4 linked regions of the Anolis sagrei genome follow. The protein of the gene in region 3 purifies or fractionates together with the protein of the main gene of each other region. This does not show direct contact. Links are inferred from orthologs where the notes say so. Each region holds a gene or a part of one and is shown on either strand. Other genes may lie near its edges.

The links.
Region 1: the proteins of EZH1 (region 3) and PHF19 purify together in Homo sapiens (affinity purification with mass spectrometry; 4 studies listed by BioGRID and IntAct, counting the BioPlex papers as one, with this or other methods). This does not show direct contact. The link is inferred for Anolis sagrei from reciprocal best matches to the Homo sapiens genes EZH1 and PHF19.
Region 2: the proteins of EZH1 (region 3) and AEBP2 purify together in Homo sapiens (affinity purification with mass spectrometry; 3 studies listed by BioGRID and IntAct, with this or other methods). This does not show direct contact. The link is inferred for Anolis sagrei from reciprocal best matches to the Homo sapiens genes EZH1 and AEBP2.
Region 4: the proteins of EZH1 (region 3) and JARID2 purify together in Homo sapiens (affinity purification with mass spectrometry; 4 studies listed by BioGRID and IntAct, with this or other methods). This does not show direct contact. The link is inferred for Anolis sagrei from reciprocal best matches to the Homo sapiens genes EZH1 and JARID2.

What each region holds. Positions count from the first base shown.
Region 1 is NC_090031.1:8,752,634-8,760,365, forward strand, and holds the start of PHF19 (PHD finger protein 19), read left to right. Parts: upstream 1-4,560; coding exon 4,561-4,605; exon of another isoform or gene 4,606-5,075; intron 5,076-7,732. Other genes in the region: TRAF1 (TNF receptor-associated factor 1), read left to right, coding at 4,243-4,461.
Region 2 is NC_090025.1:183,640,526-183,647,886, forward strand, and holds the start of AEBP2 (zinc finger protein AEBP2), read left to right. Parts: upstream 1-4,267; 5' UTR 4,268-4,349; coding exon 4,350-5,077; intron 5,078-7,361. UniProt on the Homo sapiens protein: Acts as an accessory subunit for the core Polycomb repressive complex 2 (PRC2), which mediates histone H3K27 (H3K27me3) trimethylation on chromatin leading to transcriptional repression of the affected target gene.
Region 3 is NC_090026.1:50,724,086-50,731,455, forward strand, and holds the start of EZH1 (histone-lysine N-methyltransferase EZH1), read left to right. Parts: upstream 1-4,240; 5' UTR 4,241-4,264; coding exon 4,265-4,329; intron 4,330-7,370.
Region 4 is NC_090024.1:80,730,358-80,738,149, reverse strand, and holds the start of JARID2 (protein Jumonji), read right to left. Parts: upstream 3,060-7,792; 5' UTR 1,914-3,059; coding exon 1,869-1,913; intron 1-1,868.

The sequences.
Region 1 (7,732 bases), on a different chromosome or scaffold from region 3:
GAAGGAACGAAGGAGAGAAGGAAATAAAAAGGTGAAAGAAGGAAGGAAGGAGAGAGGGAAGAAAGGAGAGAAGGAATAAAAGAGAGAAAGAGGGAGGGAGAGAGGAAGGAAGGAAGGAGAGAAAGAGGGAAAGAAGGAGGGAAGGAGAGAAAGAAAGAAAGAAAGGTAGAGAAGGAAGGAAGGAGAGAAGGAAATAAAAAAGTGAAAGAAGGAAGGAAAGAGAGAGGGAAGGAAGGAAGGAGAGAATGAATGAAAGAGAGAAAGAGGGAGGGAGGGAAGGGAGGGGAGAAGGAAAGATGGAACCAAAAAGCAAAGGAAGGGAGGAAAGAAACAGGTAGAGAAGGAAGAAAGAAGGGAAAGAAAAAGAGGGAAGGAAGGAAAGAATGAAAGGAAGGAAGGAAGGAAGGAAGGAAGGAAGGAGAGTAAGAGGGAGGGAGGATTGGCCACAACAATGCGTGGCAGGAACAGCTAGTATCTATATAAATAAAAATGTAATCTTTGTTTGTGGGATTAACATAGCTCAAAAACTAATGGACAAATTGCTGCCAAATTTGGCTACAAGACACCTACTAACCCAAGGAGTGACAATCACTCAAAAAATTTGATTTTGTCATTTGGGAGTTGTAGTCGCTGGGATTTATAGTTATTCTACAATCAGCCCCCCCCCCCCCCCCAATTCTCAGGATGGTCCACGAGATGGCCTTACTGGTACATTACTTAAACTGTTATGTTTATTCGTATCATGATCTGATCACCATGCTCAAAATATCCCCTATGCATGGGGGTATTGGGGTAACAATACAAAAGGTTTGCTAGGGTAGATCCTGACCCTCCCCCCCCCCCAAAAAAAACAAACTCAGCCCCCTCCCCCGAATCAAAATCCTGGCTACGGGCCTGCTGGACATCATCCCACAGATATATAAACCCCATTTTCCTAGTTCCCAACAGGCCTCACAACCTCTGCCATAGATGGAGGTGAAATTTCAGGAGAGAATGCTTCTGGAACATGGCCAGGCAGCTTGGAAATCTCACAACCACCCTAGATAAAATATTGTATAGAACTTCAGAATTATGCAAAGGGTGCAAACTCAAAATGACGACATGGCAACTGTGTGTTATTATATCGTCCGTGTGTCCAATGTGCAGAATGTAGCCAAAGCTTGTTTGTTGTTGAAGAGACCGTTTATCAAGGTTTGTATGTAACCACCATTTCCAGGCATGTAATGTTGCATTTCTAGCAGGACATAAACAGAGCTCAGTAAACAATCCAGGCCAGGGAGAGATGTCAGGGTTTGTCAGGACGGAGTTAGGTTCAACATCTCATTGAATCTTGAATGCTTATGTATACACTTCTTAAATGAGAGCCACGGCTTGGCCTGGAGAAGGCTCGAAATGGATTTGAGTTTCACAATATTTTGCTTGGGCAGCTTTGCCCAATCTCTTGCATCTGGCTTTGTTTTCCCATCTGGTGGCCCTGAAATGTGGGAACGACCGCTTTTGCTTATGCAACAAGCACCTGCCCTTGCAGCACACAGATTTATGGAGGTTACATTGAAAATTGAAAAAAGTGGAGCAAGAAAAGAAACATAGAGTAAAAAACACCCAAAAAAATCCAGGAAAAAATACGAAAACAGAAAGTAAAAGTAGATGACCTCCATCCTATTCTCATCTGACCAAAAGTAAACAATAAGAGACCTCGTGGGCCATCCAGTCCATTCCCATTCTGCCAAGAAGCAGGAAAATCACATTCAAAGCACCCCCAACATCTGCTTAAAAGCCTCCAAAGAAGCAGCCTCCACCACACTCCAGGCCAGAGAGTTCCACTGCTGAACGGCTCTCACAATTACAAAGTTCTTCCAAATGTTCAGGTGGGATCTCCTTTCTTTCCAGTAGTTTGAAGCCACTGTTCCACGTCCTAGTCTCCAGGGCAGCAGAAAACACGATTATTCCCTCCTGACTTCCCCTCCCATCTTCATCCATGTCTCCTCTCAGCCTTCTCTTCTGCAGGATAAACATGCCCAGCTCTTTCAGCCTCTCCTCATAGGGTTTCTTCTCCAGACCCTTGATCCATTGAGTCGCCCTCCTTGGGACACATTCCAGCTTAGAGTCAACATCTCCTTTCAATTGCGGTGCCCAGAATCAGACGCAGTGTGATTCCGGGTGTGCTCTGACCAAGGCATTATTTTCGTTGCTACTACGTAAAAGTAAAGGTTTTCTCCTGACATTAAGTCCAGTCATGTCCGACGTTGGGGTGTGGTGCTCATCTCCATTTCTAAGCCGGAGAGCCAGCATTGTCCATAGACACCTCCAAGGTCATGTGGCCTGCATGACTGCATGGAGCGCCCTTACCTTCCCATTGATCTACTCACATTTGCATGTTTTCGAACTGCTAGGTTGGCAGAAGCTGGGGCTGACAGCGGAAGCTCATCCCACTCCCCAGATTCGAACCTGCGACCTTTCGGTCAGCAAGCTCAGCAGCTCAGTGCTTTAATCCACTGCACCACCGGGGGCTCCAACATAATTGTAATTTTGCTACTTTCGTTGTTACTACATAGTTGTTATTTTCATTGCTACTACGTAATTGTAATTTTGCTACTGTTATGAATTGACATGTAAATATCGGATATGCAGGATGTATTTTCATTTACTGGACCAAATTTGGCACAAATACCCGACATGCCCCAATTTGAATGCTGGTGGGGTCTGGTGGGGAGTAGATTTTATCATTTGGGAGTTGTAGTTGCTCGGATTTAAAGTTCACCTACAATCAAAGAGCATTCTGAACTCCACCAATGATGAAATTGAACCAAACTTGGCACACAGAACTCTTACGACCAAGAGAAAATACTAGAAGGGTTTGGTGGGCATTGACCTTGAGTTCTGGAGTTTTAGTTCACTTACATCCAGAGATCACTGTAAATTCAAACAATGATGGATCTGGAACAAACTTGGCACAAATACTCAATATGCCCAAATGTGAACACTGTTGGAGATTGGGGAAAATAGACCTTGACATTTGGGAGTTGTAGTTGCTGGGATTTATAGTTAACCTACAATTAAAGAGCATTCTGAACCCCACCAACAAGAGAATGGGGCCAAACCTCCCACTCTGAACCTTCATGACCAACAGGAAATACTGTGTTTTTCTAATGGTCTTTGGTGACCCCTCCTGACCCCCAGGTTGAGAAACACTGTGCTAAAGCCTGGCCCATATTTGCACTATGTAACACTATGATACAACCAATAGTGAAAGGACCAAGGCAGTGACATCTCCGGCTCACCCCCTGTTTGGGTATCAGCCAGCACGCCAACAACTTAAATGAAGAAGTAGCTTCCTAAGATCTACAGAGACATTTGCTGGAACACCTCAGCAAGCAAGAGTCCAAAAGTGGCAGGCTCAAACCCAGAACCTCAACCAATGGCTGATACCAAATGAGAGACTCCCCCCTGGGCACACAGAAGACTGGGTGACTTGGAAGGCGCTGAACAGACTGCGCTCTGGCACCACGAGATGCAGAGCCAACCTTAAGAAATAGGGCCACAAAGTGGAATCCACGACATGGGAATGTGGAGAAGAGCAAACCACTGACCATCTGCTGCAATGCAACCTGAGCCCTGCCACATACACCATGGAGGACCTCCTTGTGGCAACATCACAAGCACTCCAAGTAGCCAGCTACTGGTCAAAGGATATTTAACCAACTACCAAACTTGCAAATTTTGTATTTTGTCTGTTTGTTTTGTTCTGTTAGAAATGTAATACAATTGACTGGTTTTCCTGACACAACAAATAAATACTTCAGGTTTATTTTGTTTTCCCATTTTCAGTAAAGATGAAGATGTCTTATTTTATGTTTATTACAAAGACTGTGTAAATATGTTGCACTGCTGGGTTTTGTGTGCAGCATTGCCAGTTTTGTTTCATCTCTGCAAAGTAAAGAGAGTAAAGATTTTCTGTTCACTTTGACTATTGGCCTGAGACTATTTGCATTTGTATTGTCGAAGGCTTTCATGGCCGGAATCACTGGGTTGTTGCAGGTTTTTTCAGGCTATGTGGCCATGTTCTAGAGGCATTCTCTCCTGACGTTTTGCCTGCATCTATGGCAAACATCCTCAGAGGTAGTGAGGTCTTTTGCATTTGGGTTTTGGGCGCTGGGACGTTGGGTTAAAATATGCACTGTGTAACAGTTGTGGCAACCACACAAACAAGCCACCTGAGCCATTCTGCTTGTCTTTTCCCAGGTCACGTTCATGCTGCTGAGTCAAAACAACACAGAAGATCATGTCAGCACCATCCACCCGGATCCAGCATCACCTTCCTTCCAGAGGCCCATGACGGATATGAACGAAGCCAGTGGCTTTCCCAAATTCATCCTGTTGGCTAAGTTACAGTCACCGAAATACGCCTATCTCAAAGAGGGCACCCTTTTCCTCCGGTGTATCACACAAGCCCATCCGTGAATCTTGCTCTTGGTAGTTTTCAAGCAGCGGAAACGGCAGAAGCATCTCAAGCAGCAGAGCTTGACCATGAACCACCATCAAGGACTGCTGTTGGTAGCGATGAGAACAGAAGTTGGTGGATATGGATCGAAAGAGCGGACAGAGGTTTGGGACTCTCCTTGGGAAAATGTCTTGCGTCAATGCATCCAGAATTGGACATAATCTATATATATAAAAATGTTCTGTTCGTTTTGAGTGACATCATAACTCAAAATCTGTTGGACGAATTGGCTCCAAATTTGGCCACAAGGCACCTACTAACCCAAGGAGTGACCATCACTCAAAATATTGATTTTGTCATTTGGGAGTTGAGTTTTGGAATTGTAGTTTGCCTACTTCCAGAACTGACCTTGATTTATAGGAGTTGTAGTTCACCTACATCCAGAGAGCACTGCAGACTCAAACAATGATGGATCTGGACCAAACATGGCACCAATACTCAATATGCCCAAATGTGAACACTGTTGGAGTTTGGGGAAAATAGACCTTGACATTTGTGAGTTGTATTTGCTGGGATGTATAGTTCACCTCCAATCAAAGAGCATTCTGAACTCCACCAACAACGGAATTTAACCAAACTTGGCACACTGAACTCCCATGACCAACAGAAAACACTAGAAGGGTTTGGTGGGCATTGTCCTTGGGTTTGGGAGTTGTAGTTCACCTACATCCAGAGAAACTGTGACCTTCATCGACAATGGACTGGGATCAAATTTGGCGCAGAAAATCACCATGACTACTTAACCAAGTGTACTGGAGACGGTTGGGGTGAATTGACCTTAATTTTTGGGAGTTGTAGTTCACCTGTGGACTCAAACAATGAAGGATCTAGACCAAACTTGGCATGACTACTCCATATGCCCAAATATGAACACAGATGGAGTTTGGGGGAAATAGAGCTTGACATTTGGGAGTTGTAGTTACTGGGATTTATAGTTCACCGATAATCAAAGAGCATTCTGACTCCCACCAACGACAAAATGGGGCCAAACTTCCCACACAGAACCTCAATGACCAACAGAAAATACTGTGTTTTTGGTGGTCTTTGGTGACCCTTCTGATACCCCCTCATGACCCCCCCCCCCCCGGGGTCTTGATTTCCCAGGTTGAGAAATGCTGCCTTAAGGCCATCCAGTTCAACTCCTTTGACCAGGGCAAGAAAACATAATCAAAGCCCTCCTGACAAAGAGCCATCCAGCTATAGATATATTTGACTCTCTCTCTCTCTCCCACACACACATATGTATATGACACATATAGTATCATAGATTTGAAAGGGACCCCTAATGAACAATTACATGTTGCATGTTCAAGAGTAGGCAAACCAGACAATCACCACATCAACACTGGCAAAGAAACAGCAAGAAATACTGGTTCCTCACAAGCAGAAAGATATGACATATATTAGAAACCAACACTTTCTCATTACTTTATTTTCCACATCACCAGACTGGGCCACAGCAATGCCTGGCAGGGGATGGCTAGTATTGTATAACATTGTTGTTGTTGTTATTATTATTATTATTATTATTATTATCATCATCATCATAATCATTATTATTAAACTTTATTTGTACCCCACTAGAATCTCCCGAAGGACTCGATTCGGCTTACAAAGGCCAAGGCCTCAACACAACAACAGCATAATGAAACAACTCAAAGCAAAATCAAAAACATAAAGCAATCATAACAAAACATAGTAGTAGTCCATAAATATGATTATAATATTGCCCGAAAGAGTTAATAATAAATATAAATAAATACGTAATGTTCGTTTGTGGGATTAACAGAACTCAAAACCCACTGGACGAACTGACACCAAATTTGGACACAAGACACCTAACAATCCAATGTATGTCCTTCACTCAAAAAAACAAAACAAAACGATTTTGTCATTTGGGAGTTGTAGTTGCTGGGATTTATAGTTCACCAGTACATTCTGAACCCCACCAACGATGGAATTGAACCAAACTTGGCACACAGTTCTTCTATAACCAACAGAAAATACTGGAAGGGTTTGGTGGGCAGTGTCCTTTGGTTTTGGAGTTCTAGTTCACCTACATCCAGAAAGCACTGTGGACTCAAACAATGATGGATCTGGACCAAACTCTACACCAGTGTTTCTCAACCTTCCTAATGCTGTGACCCCTTAATACAGTTTCTCATGTTATGGTGACCCCCCAACCATAACATTATTTTCGTTGCTACTTCATAAATGCAATTTTGCTACCGTTACGAATCGTAATGTAAATATCTGATATGTAGGATGTATTTTCATTTGCTGGACCAAATTTGGCACAAATACATGATACGCCCTAATTTGAATACTGGTGGGATTGGGCGGGAAATTGATTTTGCCATTTGGGAGTTATAGTTGCTGGGATTTATAGTTCACCTACAATCAAAGAGCATTCTGAACTCCACCAACAATGGAATTGAACCAAACTTGGCACACAGAACTCCCATGACCAACAGAAAATACTGGAAGGGTTTTGTGAGGATTGATCTTGATTTTGGAGTTGTAGTTCACCTACATCCAGAGATCACTGTGGACTCAAACAATTATGGATCTGGACCAAACTCTACACGAATACTCAATATGCCCAAATGTGAACACTGGTGGAGTTTGGGGAAAATAGAATCTTGACATTTGGGAGTTGTAGTGGCTGGGATTTGTAGTTCACATACAATCAAAGAGCATTCTGAACCCCACCAATGATATAATTGGGCCAAAACTCCCACACAGAACACCTATGTGGGCCACAGCAACGTGTGGCTGGTGACGGCTAGTACAGCATAAAACTGATCATAATGTTCATCATAATCTATATCTATATGCGTATGTACGTTGTGTGGCTGGGCTGCCCACTTCCACAGACAGGCTCCCAGTTCCACAAACAGCTGAGGGTTAAATTCCCAACTAGATGTATCTGCAATCGATCAGTCAAGTGCTTCTGTGTACAAGAACTGTCACTGCATCCACATCATTATCACGCAGATTTGTTTGATGCGCACTTCAGGGTTGCGGACGGATTGCATGCTTGGAAATAAAGTTTCGGGAAAACCAAAACAGGCCAAAACACAAAATGAGAGTGGATTATAGTTTGATCCAAAGCATTCTAGAAAGCAAAGCCTGGTTGGCAGGAGCTGTTGGAAAATAGCAAATGACCCCAGCTCTTCCGCAAAGCCCTGATTTTGGGATCTGTCACTGATCCTCTTCGGCTCCACTTGG
Region 2 (7,361 bases), on a different chromosome or scaffold from region 3:
TGGCACTCCGAGGGTGGCTGTGTTCAAAGGCAAAAGGATTTTGAAACCCAAAGGCAATAGGGTTTTGAACTTTTTACTTACATAATAAGTAGGCATTTAATACACCCCAAGGTATTTTCCACAAAAAAGGATGTTAAAATGACAGGTTTAGAGTATCCATTTAACGAAAAGTTTACAATGAAATTCTATGCAGGCCTATTCAAAGCACAATCCTGCAAGTCCAGTGGGACTTTATTGGTTACATCTGTATAGAAACACTGCCTGAACTATTTTGGAAGATGAGTGTAGACTAGAACTTTAAAAGGGGAAGGTGGGTGTACTTTTTCTATATGGCCTTGTTATTTGCTGAGCTCACAGTATGAGTGAGTGTCTTGTTTCCCTTTGTTTGAGAAGATTTTGTTGCGTTCTTAATAGCTTCAAGATATTTGGGTAAAGCCTCCAGTTGCTCCCACTGTAATAGTGCAGAAATCTGCCATTTGCTCCTCCTTTGGGATGAAATCCAAGCCAATCATGGGTTTTGCCCAGTAATCTGTGTAGACAGAGTCAAGCTTGCGTGATGGATAGGGTCACCGGCAGTTCAAGCCCATGGACAAGGGCCAATTTCGACTGGCTGGGAGAAACCTGACACCATAAAGGAGGTCTACGGGATCCAATTAACAGATAGAACCATGTGCGGCATGGAAGATTCGAGAAAGCCACACAAAGAATGGGCTGTTTGTGCAACAGTTAGCATGAAGGCGGGAAAGGTTTCACTAATTTGGAATCACTGAATCACAGAATTCTACAGCTGGAAGAGACACTGGGGTCAACTAATCTAACTCAATGCTGGTCAATGCCAGTCTAGATTGAATGTGTTCTGTTTAGTGGGTTATGATTGCAGACAACCTTTGCTTCAGAAAACAGACTAATGTGTCAGGATGCCAGAGCTAACACAGGAGAGGGTTTTTGTACCTTTTATAGTTGTGCACAAGAGGGGATTTTTAGCAGGTGTTGCTTATTACTTGGTTGCATCAAAAATTCCCTCTTCTACCCAACCAATAAAGATGCCAAAGTCTCCCCAGCTTTTGGTCTGACAAGTCTGCAACGTGTAGATTCACAGGAGTAAATTAATGAACTGTGTTGCCACTTACTAGTTCTCCAAGCAGGGATCAGGTGATTCTAACATTTTCTGCATCTGCACCCAGGGATGGAAAAACTGTCACCTGTAGCTCTAGCATGACTTCCCCAACTAGCCTCCTGCTCCTTTCCAGACGTCTCCTACCATCTGCATCCTCATCTCAACCATGAACAACAGTGATGTGGTGAAAACAGGCCTCATAAACTGGGAGCACTGGGACTTTTTGATTTGCAGAACCATAGAATATCTGACACTTCAGTAGTCAACCAAGGTCCTGGTAACTCTAATTGAGTCCCTATTCCCACTAGCCAAGTAGACTGCATACAAAATGGAACACTTGCTGGAAGACTTCCACATACCTCCAGCTAGCTCACATCGTCACATCAGACCTGTCAGCTATCACTGCTGTCTACAATATAATACAATATAACGATAACAGTTATAACTAGTTAAAACAATCAAATTAATACAATAGCAGCAATAAAATCATCTTGTGGTCAATGTTTGCCAATTCATAAATCCATAATCCAGGGGTCCTCAAACTTTTTAAACAGAGGGCCAGGTCACAGTCCCTCAAACAGTTGGAGGGCCGGATTATAGCCTGGGGAAAAAAATGAATGAATTCTTATGCACACTGCACATATCTTACTTGTAGTGCAAAAGACACTTAAAAACAATACAATAATTAAAATGAAGAACATTTTTAACAAATACAAACTTATTAGTATTTCAATGGGAAGTGTGGGCCTGCTTTTGGCTGATGAGATAGGATTATTGTTGTTGTGTGCTTTCAAGTCATTTCAGACTTAGGTTGACCCTGAGCGAGGGCTGGGTAAGTGACCTTGGAGGGCCGCATCCGGCCCCTGGGCCTTAGTTTGAGGACCCCTGCTATAATCCATCCAGCATTGTCAATTGTCCTTTCCTACTCTGGTTGTCGTTGTCCTTTATCCATCTGCCAGCTTACCCAAAGGCCTGGTCCCATATCCAGGTTTTTAACTTCCTTCTGAAAGAGAGGAGGGATGTTGATGACTTAATTTCCCCGGGGAGTGCATTCCACAGGCGAGGGGCCACCACCGAGAAGGCCCTGTCCCTCATCCCCACCAGTCTCACTTGTGATAAAGGTGGGGCTGAGAGCAGGGCCTCCCCTAAAGATCTTAAACTCCAAGGTGGGATGTAGAAGGAGATACGTTCGGACAGGTACGCTGGGCCAGAGCCGTAAAGGGTTTTGTAGATCAAAACCAGCACTCTGAATTGTTGAAAACATTCACACCTAGCTCCAGCAGACAAGAGTCCTTTGCCCCACCCTGGTCATTCCACAGATATATAAACCCATTTTCCTAGTTCCAACAGACCTCACTACCTCTGAGGATGCTTGCCATAGATGCAGGCGAAACGTCAGGAGAGAATGCCTCTAGTCTAGACCATGGCCGTATAGCCCGAAAAAACCTACAACAACCCATGTATAAATATGTGAGAGGAAGTTAAGAGGGAGGAGGGAGCAAGCTTGTTTTCTGCTGCCCTGGAGACTAGGATGCAATGGAACAATGAGATTTCTACAAGAAATAAGAATCCATCTGAACATTAGGAAGAACTTCCTGACTGGGTTTTTGTAGGTTTTTCCGGGCTATATGGCCATGTTCTGGAGGCAATTTTTCTCCTGACGTTTCGCCTGCATCTATGGCAAGCATCCTCAGAGGTAGTGAGGTCTGTTGGAAGTAGGAAAAATTGGTTTATATATCTGGAATAACCAGGGTAATGTTTCAGCTGATCACCTTGATTTGCATTCAATGGCCTGGAAGCGCCTGGGGGGAATCTCTTGTTGAGAGTGAATTGATGTGCCTGATTGTTTACTCTCTGTTTTGCTGTTGTAATTTTTGAGTTTTTTAATACTGGTAGCCAGATTTTGTTCATCTTCATGGTTTCCTCCTTTCTGTTGAAATTGTCCACATGCTTGTGGATTTCAGTGGCTTCTCTGTGTAGTCTGACATGGTGGTTGTTGGTGTGGTCCAGCATTTCTGTGTTCTCAAATAATATGCTGTGTCCAGACTGGTTCATCAGGTGCTCTGCTATTGGATAATAACTATAAACATGGATATGGAAGCAGGCCTTTGAAAACAGTTGACTATATCGTAAGCAATGGAGGTTTTTAATTGATTCCAATGCCAACTGGATTTTAATTGGTGATTAATAGGTGCTGGTTTTTGCCTCTTATGTATAATATGTTTTATTTCAGCACACAATTTTATACTTATCATACTTTTATACTAATATGCTGTGTCCAGGCTGGTTCATCAGGTGCTCTGCTATGGCTGACTTCTCTGGTTGGAGTAGTTGCAGTGCCTTTCATGTTCCTTGATGCGTGTCTGGGCGCTGCGTTTGGTGGTCCCTATGTAGACTTGTCCACAGCTGCATGGTATACGGTAGACTCCTGCAGAGGTGAGAGGATCCCTCTTGTCCTTTGCTGAACGTAGCATTTGTTGGATTTTCTTGGTGGGTCTGTAAGTGGTTTGTACGTTGTGTTTCCTCATCAATTTCCCTATGTGGTCAGTGGTTCCCTTGATTTATTTATTTACTTTGCTTATATACCGCAGTTCTCAGCCCAGGGGCGACTCACTGCGGTGTACAACATAGAAGAACAAGGTACAAAATTCAAGACACAATCTAAAATATCAATCTAGCAAAAATCAAAAACATCATCAAACACTTTTCCTCTGGGTGGATCTTCATCTTTACTTTCGTGGCTTGTTCTCGGTTTTGCAGCTCTTCTGATGTCTGAGTTAACCTCCTGACTGTTAACTTAACTTCCTGACTGTTAAGAGACGTTCAACAGTGGAACTCTCTGCCTCGGGAGAGTGGTAGAGGTTCCTTCTTTGGAAGCTTTTAAACAGAGGCTGGACAACAACAACAATAACTGGTTCATACATTCTTGAACGTCCCTATTTCCCTCGGCCTTCTGCGCTTATCCCTCGCCTCCCACCTCGCTTTGCCTCCAAGCGCAGTTGGACGGGCTGCCTGTCCTTGCCTCACTTTTGTCCCCAGGCGGCTTCCATAACGCGCGCGCGCCAGGCCGCGCATGCGCACCCTCGCCGCCAGCCAACCGCCCGCCCGCGCGCACGCTCCTTCCCTCCCTCCGTCCGTCCGTCCGTCCGTCATCCCGCTGCAGTGGGAAGCTCCTCCCCTTTTTTCGTGAGGGAGAGAGAGAGACGGGAAGAAGGGAGGGGAAGGCGACAACATGGCGGCCGAGCTGAGCAGCGGCGAAGGCGGCTCCCCGTTGCTCTGTCCTCCTCCTCCTCTTCTCCTTCCTCCTCCAGGCGCCTCTGAGGAGGCCTCTCCCTCGCCGCTGGTGGAAATGGAGGCCGAGGCCTCGCCCGTTTCTGAGGCTGAGCCCACGGCGCTGCTGCTGAGCGGAGAGGGGGCGGAGAGCATGTCGGAGTCCAGCCCGGAGAGCGCCAGCCAGGCGGGAGACGGAGACGACGAGGAGGAGGAGGACGATGAAGTGGAGGAGGACGACGACGAGGATTCCTCCAGCGGGTGCTGCAGCGACGAGACCCGCTCCCTCAGCCCGGAAGCCGACGCCAAGGCCTTGCCACTGGGAGGAGGCGGAGGAGGAGGAGGCCTAGCGGGGCCTTTGACGGAAATCTCCGCCATCGAAGGAGGAGGAGGAGGAAGCGGCAAGAGCGACGACGGCGGAGAAGGAGGAGGAGGAGGCCTCATTGGCGGAGGAAGCAGCAGCAGCAGCAGTGTCTCCTCCGCCTCCTCGTCCTGCTCCAGCAGCGAATCCAGCCGCGACGAGGGCTACAGCAGCCGCAGCGGAGGCAGCGAAGGAGAAGCCGGGGGAGAAGGAGAAAGAGGAGGAGGAGGAGGCAGTACGTGCAGCGCCTCGTCGGGCGGACGCAGGGGCAGCATGGAGGTCTCCTCCTCCGACGGAGAGCCTCTCAGCCGCATGGACTCCGAGGACAGGTCCGAAATTAGCGCCTCCATCCCCTTCCCTTCCTTTCCCTCTCTTCCTTCCTTCCCTGGTTTGGAATAGGTGCTCTCTTGAATTCCCTGTCTCTTATCAGCATAGGTCCTTTGCCTTGAGTGCTGGGGAACTGTGCAGGGTTCTTTGCCTTGAGGGATGGAGTCCAACTGCATTCACGCTGCAGTGTAGACACTCCCTTTGCCCCCCTTTCTTAAAATCACTTTTATACCAGGCATGGCCAAACTGCAGCCCTCCCTCAAGTTTTGGACTTAGGACCTCATCACACTAAGTAGGGGATGGGGGCCCCTGGAGGGGGGGGGGTTGCTAAAGACCATCAGGAAACACAGTATTTTCTGTTCATCATGGGGGTTCTGTGTGGGAAGTTTGGCCCAATTCTATCATTAGTGGGGTTTCAGAATGCTTTTTGGTTGCAGGTGAACTATAAATCCCAGCAGCTACAACACCCCTGGGGGGGGGGTCATGAGGGGGTTTCAGGGGGTCATCAAAGACCATCAGAAAACACAGTATTTTCTGTTCATCATGGGGGTTCTGCGTGGGAAGTGTGGCCCAATTCTATCATTAGTGGGGTTCAGAATGCTTTACGTCCCACCTCGGAGTTTGAGATCATCTGGGGAGGCCCTGCTCTCGACCCCACCACTGTCACAAGTGAGGCTGGTGGGGACGAGAAGCAGGGCCTTCTCAGTGGTGGCCCCTCACCTGTGGAACTCACTCCCGAGGGAAATCAGAGCATCACCCTCCCTCCTCTCCTTCAGGAGGAGGGTGAAGACATGGTTGTGGAACCAGGCCTTTGGGCAACCAGGCAATTAAATAAGACAATTAAATAAGACAATCAGATGTGCAAGATCAGCAGGATTGTCGAAGTGAAATCAAAAACAGATCTGTGAGTTAGTGTACACTGATAGGGTAGGAGGAAGAATTAGGTTTGTATTGATTTTATTGATTTTATCGATTTTATCGATTTTTTATTGTTTTTATTGGGATAATGGCTTGAATTGTGGTAACTATGAATTGTTGCACTTCTGTGATGATTGTTTTGTGTGGCAGGCATCTAAGCGTGCCTTTGCTGTTGTAAGCCGCCCTGGGTCCCCTACAGGGTGAGAAGGGCGGGGTACAAGAACCCCAAATAAATAAAATAAATTTTTGGTTGCAGGTGAACTATAAATCCCAGCAGCTACAACATCCCTGGGGGGGGGGTCATGAGGGGGTTTCAGGGGCGTCATCAAAGACCATCAGAAAACACAGTATTTTCTATTCATCATGGGGGTTCTGTGTGGGAAGTTTGTCCCAATTCTATCATTGGTGGGGTTCAGAATGCTTTTTGGTTGCAGGTGAGCTACAACTCCCAAATGTCAAGGTCTATTTCCCCCCAAACTCCACCAGTGTTCACATTTGGGCAGATAGTGTATTGGTGCCAAATTTGGTCCAGATCCAAAATTGTTTGAGTCCACAGATTTGAGCCATATACATTGTCCATTAATTCACATGTGTTGCCCTATGCCAGCATTTATCAATCTGGGGATCAAGACTCCTGGGGGAGTCACCAAAGACCATCAGAAAACATAGTATTGTTTTTGTATAGGAAGTTTGGCCCAGCTCTATCATTGGTGGGGTTCAGAATGCTTTTTGGTTGCAGGTGAACTATAAATCCCAGCAGCTACAGCACCCCTGGGGGGGGGTCATGAGGGGGTTTCAGGGGGGTCATCAAAGACCATCAGAAAACACAGTATTTTCTGTTCATCATGGGGGTTCTGCGTGGGAAGTATGGCCCAATTCTATCATTGGTGGGGTTCAGAATGCTTTTTGGTTGCAGGTGAGCTACAACTCCCAAACATCACGATCTATTTCCTCCCAAACTCCACCAGTGTTCACATTTGGGCAGATTGTGTATTGGTGCCAAATTTGGTCCAGATCCATCATTGTTTGAGTCCACAGATTTGAACCATATACATTGTCCATTAATTCACATGTGTTTCCCTATGCCAGCATTTCTCAATCTGGGGATCAAGACTCCTGGGGGAGTCACCAAAGACCATCAGAAAACACAGTATTTTTTGTTGGTCATGGGGATTCTGTGTGGGAAGTTTGGCCCAATTCTATCATTAGTGGGGTTCAGAATGCTTTTTGGTTGCAGGTGAACTATAAATCCCAGCAGCTACAACTCCCAAATGTCCAGGTCTATTTTCCCCCAAACTCCACCAGTGTTCACATTTGAGCAGATTGTGTATTGGTGCCAAATTTGGTCCAGATCCATCATTGTTTGAG
Region 3 (7,370 bases):
GCGTAGAAGCCATTCTTATCAAGATTGGAGAGATATTCAGTATTCACCCTTCCTCATATAGTTGTTTGACACCCCTATGGCCTGCATGTTATAGTTTGGCACTTGGCAATGCTTCAACCAATTAGATGGAAATTTGCATCCTTGGATGTGGGTCTCATCAAAACAAGAATATTTGTTATACAATTGAGAAATGTACATATTGTGAAATAGCAAGCAAGTGGCATGAATATGCTGCTTGTAAGTGCAAGAGAGATTCTGGGATTCCAAGCCCCTAATTTCAGGATTCTGGGCTGGTTGTGGTAAACTCCACACAAGTTTAGAAACAGTTATATTGTTTATATCTACTACGGTGAGCCTTGATTTTTTTCCCCTCCTAGTTTTAGAAAAGATTTATAGGCCTCAAGGTACATACACACTCTGAACAACGGGAAATGTTCTGCAAGGTAGCAAAATCCGACATGTTTAGATAAATTGCGAAGTTTTGAACTAACTCTGTATATTTTAGTTCTGTGTTTATATCACAGAAACTTTTACAGCATGCCAGTTATAAACATGGCAGTAGAATATAGCTGTTCGACAGGATCAGAATACAAAGGGATTTTGGAGCACCTTTGAGATTGAGGATGGATCTACATTGCCATACCTGAATAAACTGAATCCAGATTATCTGCTGGGAACTAGATTATGTGGTAGTGTAGATGGAGCCTAGGGCCCTTCCATACAGCTGTCATCGAGCCCAAAAGACCCCCTCCCCAGTCAAAACTATTGATTTGAACCATGCTGACCTTCAGTGGAGAGTTCCGCAGGGCCACTTTGACTCAACTCTCACCTCAGTGAATTATTGCCAGTCACCCTTGGTCTGAAGGTGTTCAGAATCAGCCACCAGCATCCGGAGGAACTACATAACCTAATCCTATCTTTTTAAAAAAGACTGTGGTGCAGCTGGCTGGGAATCAGCTGCATTAAGATCACTACTGACCAAAAGGTCATGAGTTCGAAGCCAGCTCGGGTCAGAGTGAGCTTCCGACCAATTTGTGTAGCTTGCTGTTGACCTTTACAGCCCGAAAGACAGCTGCATCTGTCAAGTAGGAAATTTAGGTACCGTTTATGTGGGGAGGCTAATTTATGATGCCATAAAAATCTCCAGCAAGCATGCAAAGAATAAGGAAGTACTTCATCAGTGCCACAAATGGGCGGTGAAGCAACAGATCCCCTGGTGGCCAGAATATCCTCGGTAGCAGATTGGCAGCCAGTGGAGCTGGTGCAACAGAGGAGTTGTATGCTCCCTGGGCGCCGCTCCTGTTAGCAACCTGGCTGCCGCCCGTTGGACCATTTGAAGCTTCCGAACAGTCTTCAAAGGCAACCCCACATAGAGAGCGTTGCAGTAGTCTATACGGGATGTAACCAGAGCATGGACCACCGTGGCCAAGTCAGACTTCCCAAGGAACGGGCGCAGCTGGCGCACAAGTTTTGATTGTGCAAAAGCTCTCCCGGCCACCACCAAGACCTGGGGTTCCAGGCTCAGTGATGAGTCCCAAACTGTGAACCTGTGTCTTCAGGGGGAGTGTGACCCCATCCAACACAGGTTGTAACCCTATCCCCTGTTTCGCCTTTCGACTGACCAGAAGGACCTCTGCCTTGTCTGGATTCAATTTCAATTTGTTCACCCTCATCCAGACCATCACAGCGGCCAAGCACTGGTTCAGGACCTGGACAGCCTCCTTAGTAGCAGGTGGAAAGGAGTGACAGAGTTGGACGTCATCTGCATACAGGTGACACCGTACCCCGAAACTACAGATTATCTCTCCCAACAGCTTCATGTAGATGTTAAATAACATGGGAGATAGTATTGACCCCTGTGGGACCCCACAAGACAATGGTTGTGGAGTTGAGCAGGAATCTCCCAACAACACCTTCTGGGAACGACCCTCCAGGAAAGACCGGAGCCACTGCAAAACAGTACCTCCAAGGCCAATTCCTGTGAGGCATCCCAAAAGGATACCGTGGTCGACGGTATCGAAGGCCGCTGAGAGGTCCAGCAAAACCAACAAGGACACACTCCTCCTGTCTAGTTCCTGGTGCAGATCATCCACTAAGGCGACCAAGGCTGTCTCAATACCATGCCTCGGCCTAAAACCAGACTGTGCCGGGTCCAGATAATCCGTGTCTTCCAAGAATATCTGGAGTTCAGAAGCCACCACACGTTCCATTTATGTCCTCCAAGGATAAACAATACTTTCTGCATAAGTTAAATGGCCTCCAGTGCCATTGGTGGTTTGGGACCCACCTACCTTCGTGAGTGCATCTCTCTCCATGTACCAACCCGGGCCCTTCAATCTTCTGGGGAGGTCCTCCTGTCACCTTTACCAATCTCAAAAGCCTATCTTGTGGGTACAAGGGAGGGAGTCTTCTCCTTGGTGGCTCGCCGACTTTGGAACTCTTTACCTGGAGGGATTAGGAAAGTCCCTTCACTAGAAACATTTAAAAAGAACCTTAAAACCTGGCTCTTTCGCTGCGCCTTTGGTGAGTAGGTGTACACCATGACATTTTGCACCCCTCAACGCTTTTCTGTTACTGGAGTTCGTGCCCCCCAAATGGGAAGTTCAATCTCATAAATCCCCATAAATGTCTTTCTCCTATTTTATCTCATCAGTTTTAAAAATTGTTTTATCCTGTACATGTGGCCCGCCCATTGTTATCATGATTGTGTTTATTAGAATGTTATTTTAAGATTTTTTTAAAAATTAATGTACTTTGATGATGATGTTGTTGTTTGTTGTTTATGTTCTGATTTTATTGCTGTAATATGTTGGGCCAGTGAATGAAAATACATCCTGCATATCAGATATTTACATTACGATTCATAACAATAGCAAAATTACAGTTGTGGAGTAGCAACAAAAATAATGTTATGGTTGGGAGGTCACCACAACATGAGGAACTGTATTAAGGGGTCACAGCATTAGGAAGGTTGAGAACCACTGTTCTAGATTATCAAGGCAGGATATCCCACATTATCTGAGTGTGGACTCAACCCAGCACAAGGCAGATATTGTGGGATTTTCTGTCTTGATATTCTGGGTTATAGAGCTGTGCAGGAGGGCCCTAAGTGCAACGACTAGGATTTGTAGTTTGGTGAGAACTGAAGGACTTGCAGAACCACAACTTCCTGGATTCCACAGCATTCATCCATGTAAGCCACTCCGAGTTCCCATTGGGGAGATGGTGGCGGGGTATAAATAAAGTTTATTATTGTCGAAGGCTTTCATGGCCGGAATCACTGGGTTGTTGTAGGTTTTTTCGGGCTATATGGCCATGGTCTAGAGGCATTCTCTCCTGACGTTTCGCCTGCATCTATGGCAAGCATCCTCAGAGGTAGTGAGGTCTGTTGGAACTAGGCAAAAGGGTTTATATATCTGTGGAATAACCAGGGTGGGACAAAGGACTCTTGTCTGCTGGAGCTAGGTGTGAATGTTTCAACTGACCACCTTGATTAGCATATAATAGCCTGACATTGCCTAGAGCAAACTTTTGTTGAGAGGTGATTAGACGTCCTTGTTTGTTTCCTCTCTGTTGTTGTGCTGTTGTAATTTTAGAGTTTTTTAATACTGGCAACAAAATTACAACAGCACAACAACAGAGAGGAAACAAACAAGGACGTCTAATCACCTCTCAACAAAAGTTTGCTCTAGGCAATGTCAGGCTATTATATGCTAATCAAGGTGGTCAGTTGAAACATTCACACCTAGCTCCAACAGACAAGAGTTCTTTGTCCCACCCTGGTTATTCCACAGATATATAAACCCTTTTTCCTAGTTCCAACAGACCTCACTACCTCTGAGGATGCTTGCCATAGATGCAGACGAAACGTCAGGAGAGAATGCCTCTAGACCATGGCCATATAGCCCGAAAAAACCTACAACAACCCAAAGTTTATTATTATTATTAAGGTCTGAAGTCCAAAACACCTGGAGGGGTGAAGTTTGCCCATGCATGATAACTAAACTATCTTGAGCCTCGACTGCCATATAATCCAGATTAATATAGTTAATCCATATTCTGTATGATCTGGCATTGTAGATCCAGCCGACGTTTCCCGCATTGGAAGAAAAAACAAAGTATTGGTTGTCTAGTTAGGAAGTTTATGGGTCTCTGCGGCAAAGGGGGGCGTGGCATTGGAAAGAGCCACGCGCCCCCTCTCGCGCTGGGAATTGGGCGGGGAGAGGAGGGAGAGGGGGGAAGAGCATGACGCGCGCTCTCACGCATGCGCGCTCTGGAGGGAGGGGGCTCTGCGCTCCCTGTAGGTCATCTGAGTGCGATGTCTAAGGAGTGAGTGGCGGAGGGGCCCCGAGGAAGGAGGGAGGGAGGGGCGCGCGGGCGGGCTCGGGGCGCGAGGAGCTGGGCCTCTCAGGCCTCCCTCGGAGGTGGGGCCGGGCCGGGCTGGGAGGAAGGGGCTTCTGGGCAGGAAGGGCGGGGAGGGGGAGCAGGACGCCTCAGGAGCCGGGCACGGGCGTGAGGGCGCTTTGGGGGCTGCTAGGCCCAGCCCTCCAGGGCAGGAAGGAGAGGCTTCAGTGGGGGCCTTCTCCCTGCGTCTTCCTCGCCTTCTTTGGCATGGGCCTCCTGCCAATTTAAATTTAAAGTGCGCAGTGGCTAGTTAAAATGGCTCGCCTCGCTTTCTGACCCGCAGCAAAGGGAATGTGTCAGCTTTCCTCACAGTATGGCACCCCCTTTGGCCCCTTCTACACTACCATTGAAGATTAGGATTATCCACTCTGGACTGGATTAAATATCGGTGGAGACTCAGATAATCCAGTTCAAAGTAGATCAAGTGGATCATCTTGAAGAGAGATGTTGACAAGCTGGAATGTGTCCAGAGGAAGGCGACTAAAATGATCAAGGGTCTGGAGAACAAGCCCTATGAGGAGTGGCTTAAGGAGCTGGGCATACTTAGCCTGAAGAAGAGAAGGCTGAGAGGGGATATGATAGCCATGTATAAATATGTGAGAGGAAGTCACAGGGAGGAGGGAGCAAGCTTGTTTTCTGCTTCCTTGGAGACTAGGATGCGGAACAGTGACTTCAAAGTACAAGAAAGGAGATTCCATCTGAACATGAGGAAGAACTTACTGACTGTGAGAGCCGTTCAGCAGTGGAACTCTCTGCCCCGGAGTGTGGTGGAGGCTCCTTCTTTGGAGGTTTTTAAACAGAGGCTAGATGGCCATCTGTCGGGGGTGCTTTGAATCAGGCATGTAGCGGGGGGGGGGAGGGCTTGAGGGGCTTAAGCCCCCCCCCCGAAATTCTCATGGTGGTCCACGAAAAGGCCTTACTGGTGCATTATTTAAACTGTTATGTTTATTCATATCATGATCTGATCACCATGCTCAATATATCTCATATGCATGGGGGTATTGGGGTAATGATACAAAAGGTTTGCTAGGCTAGACCCTCTTTCACTCAGACTCAGCCCCCCCCCCCCGAAACTCAGCCCCCCCCAACCCCCCGAAACAAAATCCTGGCTACGGGCCTGCTTTGAATGCAATATTCCTGCTTCTTGGCAAGGGGTTGGACTGGATGGCCCATGAGGTCTCTTCCAACTCTATCATTCTATGATCTGCATTGATCATTTAGGGCACTTCCACACAACTGAATAAAACTCCACATCATCTACTTTGAACTGGATTATATTGCAGTGTGGACTCAGATAACCCAGGGCCTTTCCACACAGCCCTGTATTCTAGATCAGTGCTTCTCAACCTGTGGGTTCCCAGATGTTTTGGCCTTCAACTCCCAGAAATCCTAGCAGCTGGTAAACACTGGGATTTCTGGGAATTGTAGGCAAAAATACCTGGGGACCCACAGGTTGAGAGGAGCCCCCGGTGGCGCAGTGGGTTCAACCCCTGTGCAGGCAGAATTGAAGACCGACAGGTCACAGGTTCAAATCCGGGGAAAGGCAGATGAACTCCCTCTATCAGCTCCAGCTCCTCATGCGGGGACATGAGAGAAGCCTCTAACAAGGATGATAAAAACATCCAATCATCCGGGCGTCCCCTGGGCACATTGGCCTGCAATTTGCCTTGCAGACGGCCAATTCTCTCACAACAGGAGCAACTCCTGACACGACAAAAAAACAAACAAACAAAACAAAAAACAGGTTGAGAACCACTGATCTAGATTATCAAGGCAGGAAATCCCACATTATCTGAGTGTGGACTCAAATAACCCAGTTCAAAGCAGATATTGTGGGATTTTCTTCTATGACGAAGAGCCATCAGGACTTTATTCATCCTTTTGGTTGCCCAACATTTTCTGATCTTCTTTATTGTGTCGTAAAACACCTCCCCCTCTTTTAGCGGTACCTAATTTCTCTAATTACAGTTAAAGCTGTTTTTGAACTGCTTAGGTCAACAGTAAGCTGGGCTGACAGTCAGCAGCTCACACTGAACCGGGGCTTCGAACTTGCAACCCTCCGGTTGATAAATCTTATAATTGCTGGTTATTTACCAGCTGTGCTAAACCCCCGGCCCCTTCTTACACTGCCATATAATCCAAATTATCAACACAGATAATCTACATTATCTGCTTTGAACTAGATTACATGAATCTACACTGCCAGGTAATAATAATATTATAATAATATTCTTTTTTTAATACCCCACCACCATCTCCCCAAAGGGTACTCGGTGCAGCTGACATGAGGCCAAACCCTAAGGTGCAATACAGCAAAAATAAAATACAGACTACAGACAACATAAATTGCATCAGAATAAAATACATACAGTAACAAAATAACATAAATAAAGCAAATTAACACAATGTAAAATCAAATGGGCAGAATGAGCAGGCCAAATGGACAAGGCAAAAGGATAATCCAGTTCAAAGCAGATACGGTAATCTGGGTTTTATATGGCAGTGTAGAAGGGGCCTCAGATAATCCAGGTCAAAGCAGATAATGTGCCCTTAGAGATTTATTTCTAGAGAGAACACTTTTTAGTACTCCCTAAGTTCTCCAATGCAGTTTGGTGGTCAGCTCCCAGGAGAAATTGATCATGGGACCTAGAAATTCCTAGAGGTGTTCTCTTAGGTTAAAAAAAAGTAAATTATTTTCTCACTAGTCGTCCCCTGCCAAGTTGCTGTGGCCCAGTCTGGTGATCTGGAAAATAAAGTAATGGTTTCTAATCTATGTAATTTCTTTTTGCTTGTGGGTAAACAGTATTTCTTTGTCAGGGTTGATGTGGAAAGTGTCTGGTTTGCCTACTCTGGAACATGGAACATATCATTGTCCTTCTTTAGGACTCCCTTTCAAATCTATGATATTATATCGCTCTGTGTGTGAATCATATATATCTATCTCTATGGCTGGATGGCTCTTTGTC
Region 4 (7,792 bases), on a different chromosome or scaffold from region 3:
TAAGCTGCTGGGGAGCCTGCCTTCCTCTGCAATGCGGATGTGTGTGTCTGTATGTGTTTTAATTCCTAAACTCGGATCAGAAACGCTTCCAATTCAAGGTCTGGTGTGTTAAGAAATAAGCAGAGAAAGGGATGCGAAGTTTATCGGGCGTTTCTGACAAAACAAGGGCAGAAAATCCCACCACAGAAGACAGCCCGCTCCTTTTTGCAAGCGACATATTGTGCCCAACTTTGGCCCTTTTCATTCCTCGATTTGTGCAGCGCCCAATGGATAGAATACAACTATGGGAGGTAGTCGGAGGGGAAAAAATAGACAACTCGCTTCTCTTTGAGACAATTATAAAGCGATTGGGTTACACACAACATGAGGCTTGGACGCGAAAGCGATTTCTCCCTCCATTGAAAGCACAAAGCTCGAGCCATTTTTTTTGTTGCCAATGTTAAAAGCCAGGCCTTGGCCAACACATTCCTTCCAGCAAGGCTTGCAAACACAGGGCCCTTCCACACAGCCCTATATCCCTGAATATCAAGGCAGGAAACCCCACAATATCTGCTTTGAGCTGGGTTGTCTGTGGGCCCTTCCACACAGCCATAAACCCCGAATATCAAGGCAGAAAACTGCTTTGAACTGGAATATATGGCAATGAGGACTCAGGGCCCTTCCATACAGCCATACAATCCTGAATATCAATGCAGAAAACCCCACAATATGTGCTTTGAACTGGAATGTCTGGCAGTGTGGACTCAGGGCCCTTCCACACAGCCATAAAACCCTGAATATCAAGGCAGAAATACCCACAATATCTGCTTTGATCTGAGTACACAATCAGAAAACCCATAATGTAGGATTTTCTGCCTCGATTTCTGCCCCCCAAAAAGCCAATGAGGGAACGTACACGCTGGAGAGAACTACAAATCCCAGGCATTCTAGTCACTGCAAATTCACATTGTGGTCCTTGAATAACGAGGCTCTTTGCAAACCAAAGGAAATGTTTCATCTTTTCCTTCGTCTCAAAAAAACTAAGCAAAGGCTCTTCCACACAGCCATTTAACTAAGGGCCCTTCCACATAGCACTATATCCCAGAATATCAAGGCAGGAAATCCGACATTATCTGCTTTGAACTGGAATATATGGCAGTGTGGACTCATATAACCCAGTTCAAAGCACATTTGTGGATCTTCTGTCTTAATATTCTGAGGAGGGGGGGGGCTAACCTAGAATATCAAACCAGAAAATCCCACAAGATCGGCTTTGAACTGGATTATCCGAGTCCACACTGACATATAACCCGGTTAAAAGCAGATATTGTGGGGCTTTATTCATCTGGGTAGAAGGAGCCTCAGAATATCAAGGCAGGTAATACACATTATCTGCTTTGAACCGGATTATGAGTCCACACTGCCATATAATCTGGTTCAAAGCCGAAAATGTGGGATTTTATCCAGCTGTGTGGAAAGGACCTCAGAATGTCATGGCAGGTAATCTGCAATATCGGCTTGGAACCGGATTATCTGAGTCCACAGTCATATAATCCGGTTCAAAGCAGAAAATGTGGAATTTTATCCAGCTGTGTGGAATGGGCCCCAGAATATGAAGGCAGACAATCCCACAATATCTGCTTTGAACCGGATCATCCGAGTCCACACTGCCAATTCAGTGTGGATTTTGTCCATCTGTGTGGAAGACGGGGTTTGGATTCCGATTGTGTCATTTGAGGTCAATACAATTGATCCGATTGAGGAATCGCTGCACGACTGAGGGATCGAAGCCTGCCCATTTGGGAAATAAATAGGTCTGAATCCCCCCCCCCCCTGACCGACATTTCCCAAAAGCACCCACAATCTGAAGGCACACAGCCTTTACTTACGTATTTCTTTTGAATTATATTCCTCTTGGGTCTTTCTTTGCTCATTATGAGATCCAGGTTGCGGTTGCAAAGGGGGACAATTGCTTCATGAATTTGTGTGTGTGTCGGAAGGGGCAGAAAAAAAGATCCTTATCTTGAAATATAGAGATGTGTATATATATCTATTTCTTCCTTTTCCCCGCCGTTGCCTTCTTCCTTGTAGTGGTTTCTTGTAATCCGGGTTTTTCTTCCCTTCGCACACAATGCAATAAATCCGAAAGAGGTGGGACGAAGAAAAAAGAGACCAAGCACCAAAAAAATTAATATAGATAGATCACTCTGAGAGAAACATCGCTGGAAATTTCACACACACACACACACCCCACACACACAAAAAAGCACCGTTTTGGCTCCTTCCCGATCCTTAGAGGCCTTGAAGGTGTAGTTTTACATCTTGAGTGGAGGAAAAAAAGGGGGGAAATAGGGAAGGAAATTGATTTTTCCCCCTCAAGGCTGGAAGTCACGTTTCTCCTGCTGCAGCGCAGACAACTCCAAGCAAAAGGCGGCACAGAGAGAGAGAGAGAGAGAGGTTGAGTCTCTCCTCCTCCTCCTTCTTCTTCTTCTTCCTCGAGACAGACACACAGCCAATGGGAGCCAATGAGCGCGAGCTGCTTCTTCCCAGCAGCAACTTTAAATGGCCCGATTTGTATCTGTATCTGGAATAGAGAGAGATCAGGGAGGCCAAGAAGGGAGGGTTGTGATCCTCGGTCTTTCAACGTGCCATCAGCAGCCAGAAAAAGAAAAATAGCATAGAAAAGGTATCAAAATTGAAGAGCTGCACAACCCAAACGGCCTGGTGCCCATCCACAGCGGCGGCGGGGAATGGGAGGACAATCGCAGCCTCTCTCCTCCTCCTTTCTGTCTCTGCAAAAAAAATTCTCCTCCTCCTTCTCCTTCTCCTTCTGCTGCTACATCTCCCGCTGCATCCAACCACAGCGAGGATCTCCTTCCCTTTGCTTTCGAAGGAGAAGCAGCCCTGCAAAAGCAAAGAAGGAAAAGCAAAGCAAGAATCGCCCTCTCGCTCTCGCTCTCCCTCTCGCTGGGAAAGTTGTAGTCCCCTCGCTACAAAATGGCTACAAGGGCTCGAACTGCAAATCCCAGCCTGCGCGGCGGCGGAGGCAGCATCATCCGCGGCCTGATTGGGCGCCGGCAGAGGGATTGTCCTCGAGGCACCTTTCTTTCACCTCAGGCCCCGCCCACTTTGGGAAACGCCGGCCGCGGCGCCGCGCGGAGGACGAGGACGGGGACGAGGCAGGCGGGCGGGGGCGCGCGCGCGCGCGGCGGAGGCTGGCTTCCTCTTCGCGCGCGAGCCCTCCTCTCCAGCGCAGTGGCACGCGCCCCCTCCAAGGGAAGGAGGGAGAGGGAGGCTGTCACGTGGTACATTCATAATAATAATAATAGTAATAATAAATGCAGCAGGTATTTTGTTCCCATTTGGGTCATAGAATCACAGAATTAGAAGAGACCCCCCCCCATTCTGCCAGACAGGAATTACCCCATCAAAGCACTCCCAACAGATGGCCATTCAGCTTCTGCTTTAAAAACCTCCAGAGAAGCAGACTCGGTAATAATATGATAGCTGGGTCCTCAGTCACATCAGTAGGGATGCTATTGTCCTCCCAACCCTGCTATACACCTGCGAGATGTGGACTGTCTACAGAAGTCATGTGCAACTCCTAGAATGAATCCATCAGCATTGCCTCCAGAAAACCATGCAAATCTCTTGGGAAGACAAGCGGACAAATGTCAGCGTGCTGGAAGAAACAAAGACCACCAGCATTGAAGCAATGGTCCTCCGCCATCAACTCCGCTGGACCAGCCACATTGTCCGGATGCCTGACCACTATCTCTCAAAGCAGTTGCTCTACTCTGAACTCAAGAACGGAAAACAGAATGTTGGTGGGTAGGAAAAGAGATTTAAAGATGAGCTCAAAGCCAACCTTAAAAACTCTGGCATAGACACTGAGAACTGGGAAGCCCTGGCCCTTCAGCGCTCCAGCTGGAGGTCAGATGTGACCAGCAGTGCTGAAGAATTTGAAGAAGCACAAATGGATGGTGAAAGAGAGAAACGTGCCAAGAGGAAAGCGCATCAAGCTAACCCTGACCGAGACCGCCTTCCACCTGGAAACCAATGCCCTCACTGCAGAAGAAGATGCAGATCAAGAATAGGGCTCCACAGTCACCTATGGATCCACCGCCAGGACACCGAACTTGGAGGACCATCATCCTCGGACTACAAGGGATCGCCTAAGTAAATAAGTAACTTGCCCCCAAATTCCACCAGTGCTCACATTTGGGCATATTGAGTATTCATGCCAAGTTTGGTCCAGATCCATCATTGTTTGAGTCCACAGTGCTCTCTGGATGTAGGTGAACTACAACCCCAAAACACAAGGTCATTGCCCACCTAACCCTTCCAGTATTTTCTGTTGGTCATGGGAGTTCTGTGTGCCAAGTTTGGTTCAATTCCATCTTTGGTGGAGTTCAGAATGCTTTTTGAATGTAGGTTAACTATAAATCCCAGCAAGTACAACTCCCAAATGACAAAATAAATGAATGAAAATGTATCCTGCATATCAGATATTTGCATTACGATTCACAGCAGTAGCAAAATTACAGTTACGAAGTAGAAATGAAAATAATTTTATGGTCGGGGGTCACCACAACGTGAGGAACTATATTAAGAGGTTGTGGCATTAGGAAGCTTGAGAAACACTGCCCTACAAGAACCACTGCCTGAATATCAAGCAAAAAGTGGGCGCTAGAAACAATATCATAGGAAAGCTGACTGGCACAACCTGGGGATCACAACCAGGTACAGTGAAGACCTCTGCCCTTGCGCTATGCTACTCTACTGCTGAGTATGCATGCCCAGTGTGGAACACGTCTCACCACGCTAAAACAGTGGATGAGACATGCCGCATTATCACAGGGTGTCTGCGCCCTACACCACTGGGAAATTACACTGCTTAGCCAGTATTGCACCACCTGACATCCGCCAGGAAGTAGCAACCAATAGTGAAAGGACCAAGGCAGAGACATCTCCGGCCCACCTCCTGTTTGGGTAGCAGCAATCATTCCAACGACTTAAATCAAGAAATAGTTTTCTACAGAGACACTTGCTGGAACACCTCAGCAAGCGAGAGTCCAAAAGTGGCAGGCTCAAACCCAGAACCTCAACCAATGGCTGATACCAAATGAGAGACTCCCTCCTGGGCACACAGAAAACTGGGCGACTTGGAAGGTGCTGAACAGACTGCGCTCTGGCACCACGAGATGCAGAGCCAACCTTAAGAAATGGGGCTACAAAGTGGAATCTACGACATGCGAGTGTGGAGAAGAGCAAACCACAGACCACCTACTGCAATGCACCCTGCCACATGCACAATGGGGGACCTTCTTGCAGCATCACCAGAGGCGCTCCAAGTGGCCAGCTATTCCTCGTGAGGTCTGACCAAAGCAGAATAGAGTGGGACCATGACTATCCTTGACACGATACTCACGATACTCCTGTTAATGTCATTGAGGGTTATAGAGAAGAATTAAAATCATAGAATAGAATAATGGAGTTGGAAGGGACCTTATGGGCCATCCAGTCCAATTCCCTGCCAAGAAGCTGGAAAATTGCATTCAAAGCACCCCCGACAGATGACCATCCAGCCTCTATTTAAAAGCTTCCAAAGAAGGAGCCTCTACCAGAGACTTCCACTCCTGAACAGCTCTCACAATCAGGAAGTTCTTCCTAATGTTCAGATGGAATCTCCATTCTTGTAGTTTGAAACCATTGTTCTGTGTCCTAGTCTCCAGAGCAACAGAAAACAACCTTGCTCCCTCCTCCCTGTGACTTCCTCTCACATATTTATACATGGCTATCATGTCTCCTCTCAGCCTTCTCTTCTAAATGCTAAATATGCCCAGCTCTTTACGCCACTCCTCATAGGGCTTGTTCTCCAGACTTGATCATTTTACTCGCCCTCCTGATGTCGAAAAAGGTTGGACATCAGCAAGGGATACTTTGTGTTTTTTCTGCATGGTAGGGGGTTGGACTAGATGGCCCATATGGTCTCTTCCAACTCAATTGTGGAACTGTGGGATGTGAAAAGAATATAGGTTTAATGCTCAAAGCACTAAATCACCCTGGAGGCAGAAAGGCAGCCATCTTGAGAGTGGGCTGCGAGAGAAGGGAGGGATCACCACTACATCATGATGATTCCCCTTCCCTACTAATCTAATGTGTTTTTGCTTTGTTCCATGGAAAGGGAAAAGAATAAGAGTAAGATAGTGATGCCAGGGTGCTTTAGTCCTTTAGATGAGGGAGAAACTGAGACCTCAACCTCCAGAGAAAACCGAAGCAGGACTAGAAAAAGGAGCCAGTGCCGCCATCTTAGAAGCTGGCAGCCTCCCTTCCCTCACAGTCCGCTCCCAAGATGGCTGCCCTTTTGCCTCCAGAGTGATTTAGTGCTTTGAGCATTAAACCTGTACTCTTTTCACACCTCACAATTATAGATTATGGATCCTGGGATTTGTAATTTGGTAACAACGTGAACTAATGAAAATAAAGCCAATCTACAGGATAGAATCAGGGCAAATAAAGTGGAATCATGGCACAATAAGTTAAAAAATGCCAAGAATATGCAATATCAAGGCTGGAAACTGCTGAACAATGGAAAACCGGTAGGTAACCTTGAGCAAGTCACACTATCTCAGCTTCAGAGAAGGCAAAGGCAAACCTCTTCCTTATAAATGTTCTCAAGAGAGCCTTTGTTTGGTTCACCATAAATCAGTGTTGACTTAAAGGCATATGAGAATAACATGCAGCAAGGATGATTTCAATGCAAATACAGAGCCATCCTGGTGAAATGACCATGTCTTATACATGCAGCCTATATTATATGGAGCAAGGGTGGAATCAATTCAAACTACAAGAAAGGAGATTCCACCTGAATATTAGGAAGAACTTCTTTACTGTGAGAGCTGTTCACCAGTGGAACTCTCTTCCCTGGAGTGGGGTGGAGACTCCTTCTTTGGAAGCTTTCAAACGGGCTGGATGGCCATCTGTCGGGGTGCTTTGAATGTGATTTTCCTGCTTCTCGGCAGGGGGTTGGACTGGATGGGCCACAAGGTCTCTTCCAACGCTATGATTTTAAGTTTTGGGTACAGGGGAAAATTGTCTTCCTATGTTGGTTGAGCCAAAGGTAGGATCAAAAATGCTGGCACGTTTTAGGGCAGGGGTCCTCAAACTTTTTAAACAGAGGGCCGGGTCACAGTCTTTCAAATCGTTGGAAGGACGGATTATAATTTGAAGAAAAAAAAGAATGAATTCCTATGCACATTGCACATATCTTATTTGTAGTGCAAACAGCACTTAAAAATAATACAATAATTAAAATTAAGAACAATTTTAACAAATATAAACTTATTAATATTTCTATGGGAAGTATGGGCCTGTGTTTGGCTAATGAGATAGTGTTGTTGTTGTTGTTGTTATTGTTGTTGTGTGCTTTCAAGTCAATTCAGACTTAGGTTGACCCTGAGCAAGTGCCAAGTAAATGACCTTAGAGAGCCGTATCCTTTGCTCATCCAACGTTCTGTATTATCCCACAGGCCCTGTTTTAGGGTAAGGCTCTTGCCACCAATAACTAAGCCATGGGGAAGCATTTTAACCTTTTAGAATCGAGATCAAAACTACAAAAGCTAGGAAACCACCATATGAAGACATTAGGAAAAAGGAGAAGTAGTCTGCTCGGGACATATGGAGAGCCAGATTAGAGAAGTTCTGCAGTGTTACATTCAAAACCACAGACTGAGGCTATAACTACACAGGCCATTTAACACAGTTCAATGCCACCTTCAAACTGCAGTGCCCAGACATTGAGGCCCCTTCT